2 linked regions of the Oryzias latipes genome follow. The protein of the gene in region 2 purifies or fractionates together with the protein of the main gene of each other region. This does not show direct contact. Links are inferred from orthologs where the notes say so. Each region holds a gene or a part of one and is shown on either strand. Other genes may lie near its edges.

Region 1 (2,491 bases), on a different chromosome or scaffold from region 2:
TTTCAACAAAGAATGTTAATTTAATTTTTTTTTTTACAGTTTCTGAATATAGTTCTTGCTAAATATTTCTATCAGGTTTAACCCTTCAATACCGAAGCTTTAGCTCTTGTTTTGACATTCTTTCGATTTCCCCAACTCTTCAACTGTTTACGCAATTAAAGACATAATTCCAGCAGATTATAAGGCAGAAATAAGCAGCTTTACGTTGATATGCAACACTTCAGTAGTGAAGTAAATCAATGTAAATCCACTGATTCTGATGCACGAACAGCTTTGCGCCACTATGCTACACCTTGCAGTAATGTGTTGCATTTCGGTGCAAAGTTGATGTGAAAAGTCACATTTCTGCACCTCAGAATCAGCTGGTTCTGAGTTCAGAGGGCGTGCTACTCAGCTGTCATTGGATAATATGCACACTCTTTGAACCCCTGTAACTCTTTGACCGTTTACGCAGTTGACGCAACTCCATCAGCTTTGTGGTTAAGGATGTAAAGTGTTGCAAATCAGCACAAAGCTACTTTTCTCAGCTTTCAGAATCTGCTGGAATTTCGTTAAATGCATTAGCGAGTGAAGAGTTACTGCTATCCAAAGAAGATCAACACTGGAGCTAAATCTCTGGCGTTAAAGGGGTAAAGGTACTTCCGGACCGACTGGATGCACCTGAGGAACTCCAGGTCGTCCCAGCCATTGTGCAGCAGGCCCTGCTCGTACTTTTCCAGGCCCAGCCTCTGCAGCCACTCCCCCACTGACGACTCCCCCACTGACAGAGACGAGCTGCTGCTCCCCCAAAGGGCCTGCGAACATGAAACGCTGGATCAGTCAACCAAACCATGATTTGGAGAAATCCGGAATGTAAACCACGGACAGTAGTGATCTAGTGTGGGAGTGTCCACCCTGACAGTGGGATTGGGAGTTTGACTGTATCAGAGAACTGGATTGAGTGGGACGTCACCCACTGAAAATGGTATCCGTCCGACCAAATGAAGTCAATTCAGTCACCATTTTTTCGTGATACTGACGCCGCCATGCTGGAGCCAGACGTCAGTAAACAGTGAATGGTCTGAGTCGTTTCTATAGGAACCACCATGGCTTATCAGGTGTGAGCTTATTGGAAGTCTACACCACTACCACGTGAAATTGTGCTACATGAAATCTGTCAATCAAAGGTTTCGAATGTTGGACATGGGGGTCAGCCGGCCCCACCTACTTTTATTGAGGCCTCTGATTGGTCATTTTATAACTTAATTAACTTGAATTACAGAAAAAAATATCCTTAAAATGTGTTTTTTTTTTAAAGTATCAAAGCAAAAATGGTACTTCTGACAAACAGAGTGACTGAGTAATAAACTGTTTACTTCTGTACAAGTCTATGGGATGATTAGGAGGATCAAAGTGGAGCGTTTATTAAGCCTTAACGCTGCTCACCTCCTCCGGCATGTCCTCTGCGATGCTTTCCGTGATGGGGTTTCTAGGGGGGAAGGTGCGGCAGGCATCCAGACCCGCCCCCATGGGCTGCCCTCGGAGAGGTGGAGGTGCTGAGGGAGCACGGGGTGGAGGCTGCCCACCAAACTCACTCTCGCTCAGCGTCTTAGCCATCTGCAGCACGGAGCATGACTGGTCATCCAACGCCATCCCCCCACCTCGCCTGAAGCCCTCTCCCAGGGCCAGCGGGCCCCCAGGTGCAGCTGGTGGGATCCTGACTTCAGCCAGATCTGGGTACAGGGGGCGGGGTTTGTTAAATGGGGCCTCCGTTACCATCTCCAGGGCTCCTTTAGGCAGAGGAGGAGGGGGAAAGTCAGGAGGGGGCCGATTCAAAGTGCTCCCAGCACCTCCTCCCTGTGCCCCCGCCACGCAGGAACCTCCATCGTCCTCTGAGGAGCCCTCTTCAGTGATTGTCCGGGCTGGGGGGCCTGCTGCAGCTCTGCGTAAGTGAAGGGGCCCTGAGGGTGCAGCAGGGGGTTTGGTTCGAACTCCTGCTGAGGGTGGGTTGACTTTAGCTGCTGGGGGGTTGCTGGAAGTGGGAGATGGGAGGAGTTCTGGGGAAATAGCTGCAGCGGATTGGTTGGGAACTCCTTCCAGGATGTAGTAGGCGGGATTGTTGAAGCTGTTCTTGCTGATGGAGTCGCCGCCGTCGGGCCCGTCCTGCTTGGGTCTTCCCAAAAACAAAAAACACAAGATCAAAAAGATGGCAACCTTCTCCTTCAGGTAACACTTCTCACTGTACCTTGCTGCGGTTTCCTCCTTGCTGCTTCTCTCCGCCTCCTCACTGACCTTTCCCAGCTCTCCTAGCTGCTTGCGAACCACAGAAGGCCTGAAACACATCAGGAGGAGTTAGGAGGCGGGACAAAAGGAGACATCTGAACATTCAGTTGAAGCAGAAACCCTGCAGGGAGTCCAAGTGCACTTCAACTTTTTTTCTGTTGAGCTGCAGCAAAACAGCCAAACTGTAAACAAACGTCTCTTCTTCTTCTTCTGTCTGGTTGTCATCTAT
Region 2 (3,658 bases):
TCCAATCCTAAAGCAAACAATACGCTGACTGTCCAAACCAATGCTTGTTTTCCATGGAACTGTACCAATGGCTTCCCTGGAATTCTTTTTGTTTTTGCGTAAGCGCACAAAGAGCTTGATTTAAGATAATTGTGCACTTGTGTGGTGAGTGAGCCACTTGCAGGTAATTACCAATCACTATAGGTCTCTTTTCTCCCTCTCCCGTGCCACAGGGGAGGCTTGTGGGGAGCCAGTGTCCGGCTTAAGAAGCACTATGGATTAGCAAACGCAGCCTCCAAACGCTGTGTCTGTAAAACTAAAAGCATCCACCCAAACAGTCTATAAAGCTGTTCGGTCTGCTTGCAAAACTGGGTTTGACCAGTGAATTACTGGCAGTCTACTATTCCAGACAAAAAAATGCTAAAATATGATGACTGCAATAGATAAAACTAGTCACTTCTGCCTTTTTTTTAGGTTACTGTGGCTAAGCATGAGCTGCTTTTCTCAGCATTTTCCAAATATTCTGGAGCAAATTTGGATGAAAGCTGTGAGAACAGGAGGTGGATTGGAGTTGATGAGTTGGCACAATTGTTTTGGCCTGGCCCATGTGATATTCATTGTCAAGCCTAAATTATGTGATCTGGCCTCCCTCACAGGCGTCATTGGCTTTAGAGACCAGATCATTCTTTGGAGTTGCAGTAACCGTCTCACTCCCACACTCAAAAGCATTTACTCATTTATTTCCACAGATATGTATCCAGCTCTCATTCACTCTTATTAATGTTAGTTTCACCAAATAAAATCAGCTTGTGATTTAGTAAAGTTCTTTCTTGCTTTGTGTTGCTCTTCTTCACAGCCTTCCTCTCGGTGTCTCACATCAATTCTGGGAAAGAGTAACTTGCAGTTTGCAGGCATGCCAATCAGCCTCACCATCTCAACCAGCAGCCTAAACCTGCTAGCTTCTGACTGCAAACAGGTTAGACTGCTATCACATTTTCTGGCTCTCTCAAAGTGTTATGCTGACTATTGATTAGCAAGCTCAAGATATTCCTGCTTATCAGTGTGCTTGCGTAACAACCTGTGACGTACACAACCTGTCAATTGTAAGATGTAGTTGTAATGGCGATGATGTTTGAGGAGCCTGGGGGAAAAACAGTTCTGTAATGTAGACATATTTCGAAGAAGCAAGTGTTTTCTGATGCTTTTGCCATTTTCCTGTAAAGGTTTTAAGTTCAGTAATGCAATAGTTATTTTTTCCTAGATGACAAGGATTCTGCGGCAGATGTCTATTTTTCTCTTTAAACTCCTGTCAGTTGTGTTTGTTTTTCGATAAAAAAAATATGTTGAGTGGATTGCTGAGTCTTTTTTTGTGTGTTTTGAAAATATGTATAACTTTTGCAACACTTTTTTTAAGCACTGCTTTCACTCATGAAAGCAAACAGCTCAGAAATGGGAGAAGGCTGACCTGAATGAACGTTTAGTTTCTGGGATAGTCCCGATTACAGGGTTGGCAGTTTCTGGAACATTTACAGATACATTTAGAGCCTCTCCACTTTGTTTAGCTCATTTACTCTGGATGCTGCACAAATCCTTCCTAACATTGTCTTGGTTCTTGCCTTACCACTGGGCAGGATGTGATGCGCCTCTCAGACCTCTAATGAGTTAATAGCCACTGAGCGATGTCTATCTTTGGGGAGATTGGTATACAGCAGTGCAGTGCTTTCACATTAACACATAGCACTAAGGAGCATGTCGTTTAGCACATCATATACCCATTCACCAAAAAGAAAAAACTTGGGTGCATGCATTGTGTATGTGAAGCATTAGCAAGTGTTGTTGCTGTTATTGATCCATTGAGGGTGGTTGTTCCAGACGGTTAGAAAGGTGCTCCATCCCTTCTTCATTTTTTATCTTTGTTGCAGATGTTCGATTGAGGAAAAGGGGCTATTATTTTTATATAACCAGTACATATTTCTTTTTTCCATAAACACGCTTTGATTTCACTTCCTACATACTTCATCTTCCCCGTGTGCTCTCCTTCCCCTTCTCTCCTTCCATCCACTCTTCTTTGTCTCCACAGATTATTGCCAATCATCACATGCAGTCCATATCCTTTGCCTCTGGAGGAGACCCAGTGAGTCACCCAGCCCTCTCTTTCAGCTCAAGTCGCACTCTGGGCTTTTTCCATCTTTCATCACCGTGCATGTCCTTCCTTCCTGTCTTAAGTCATTGTCTAATCCTATGAATACCACTTAATTCACTGCTGCCTCAGTGGCTCGCAGCCCCCGTCCGCATTACTTCCTGTTATCTCTTTTCCAGCTCATAGTATGTCTCTAACTTCTGTTGCGACTTAAAGATGGCAGCTTTTGCTTGATCTATTTCCTTGTCTTCTTCTCAGCCTTTCAGTCTCAAAGCTACCCTTCACTTTCTTTCCTCTTATTGATTTCCCTCCCCCATCCCTTTCCTCTCCTCCCCTAACTATCTTCCCCTGTCTCCCTTAGGATACAGCAGAGTACGTAGCATATGTGGCCAAAGACCCAGTCAACCATAGAGGTGAGCAGAAACGACACAATAAAACCATCTTAGAGGTTACATCCTACGGAAGAGTCTGAAAACGGAACTTGGGTTCCTCTATGAAGAGATTTAATCATGATTCTGTGGCCCATAAATCAGCCGTTTCCTGTGTTCTCTCTTTTTGCATGGTGATAAAGAGCTGCAGACTATTTTCCTGGCAACTTCAGAAAAATATTATCAGCAGCCAATTTTTTTGTAAAGAATGAAATAATTTACCAACATTTAGAAAAAGGACAAAATTAGTGTTCATTTTCTCACACAACTATGTAAGGGGAGCATTTAAGGCCTTTCTAAATGATGCTCATCAAGCGCTGCTTTAATGTATAGAAGAGCAAGTGAAGAAAACCCTTTTTGCTAATGTAGCTTTCTCTGAGGCACTTGATCAAAATTCACAAGCCATCTTTACGTCTCTCTGCACTGTCTCTGTTTCAACTTATTTTCCGTTTGAGCTCTGGATTCCTTTCAAGGATGCACAGCTACAGCCTCCTAATCTGTTCTTCCTCTCTCCTCTGTTTGCAGCATGTCACATCCTGGAGTGCACAGAGGGTTTAGCTCAAGAAGTCATCAGCACCATCGGCCAGGCATTTGAACTGCGTTTCAAACAATACCTTAAAACCCCCCCTAAACTGGTCACCCCCCATGACAGGTACGTTCGAACAAAAACCTTAAACTATATGTTTTAAACTACTCTTTTTGCTCATCTGTTTTTTTTTAAATCTCCTGTCAGAATGGCTCCGTTTGACGGCTCTGCATGGGATGAAGAGGATGATGAGATTGCCCCGCCTCCTGAAGTTCCTTACTACAATAATTTCCCTGGGAAACAGCCTCCTCCTGGTGGAATTATTGACATGAGGACCCGCTCCGGAGCCACACTGGTGAGAAGACATCCGCTTATGCACACAACTCAGCACATTCGAATCCAGAGAGGCCTGCAGCACAGAGACGACAAACCAGGAAGAAAAATCCAAATATGTCATTTACACATATAGGTGTTTTTTTATGGTCTGAAGTATGAACACCCACAATCTGCAATGATTCAGCACTGCCCTACTTGTATCTCGGTGAAAAACTGTTGTATCCACGATGTGTGCTCAAATCAGTAAGA

Evidence for each region.
Region 1: the proteins of shc1 (region 2) and inppl1 purify together in Homo sapiens (affinity purification with western blotting; 4 studies listed by BioGRID and IntAct, with this or other methods). This does not show direct contact. The link is inferred for Oryzias latipes from reciprocal best matches to the Homo sapiens genes SHC1 and INPPL1.

What each region holds. Positions count from the first base shown.
Region 1 is NC_019871.2:21,856,781-21,859,271, reverse strand, and holds part of inppl1 (phosphatidylinositol 3,4,5-trisphosphate 5-phosphatase 2), read right to left. Parts: intron 2,312-2,491; coding exon 2,225-2,311; intron 2,153-2,224; coding exon 1,426-2,152; intron 795-1,425; coding exon 661-794; intron 1-660. UniProt on the Homo sapiens protein: Phosphatidylinositol (PtdIns) phosphatase that specifically hydrolyzes the 5-phosphate of phosphatidylinositol-3,4,5-trisphosphate (PtdIns(3,4,5)P3) to produce PtdIns(3,4)P2, thereby negatively regulating the PI3K (phosphoinositide 3-kinase) pathways.
Region 2 is NC_019874.2:18,326,847-18,330,504, reverse strand, and holds part of shc1 (SHC-transforming protein 1), read left to right. Parts: intron 1-835; coding exon 836-955; intron 956-2,059; coding exon 2,060-2,113; intron 2,114-2,480; coding exon 2,481-2,532; intron 2,533-3,072; coding exon 3,073-3,199; intron 3,200-3,280; coding exon 3,281-3,428; intron 3,429-3,658. UniProt on the Homo sapiens protein: Signaling adapter that couples activated growth factor receptors to signaling pathways. Participates in a signaling cascade initiated by activated KIT and KITLG/SCF.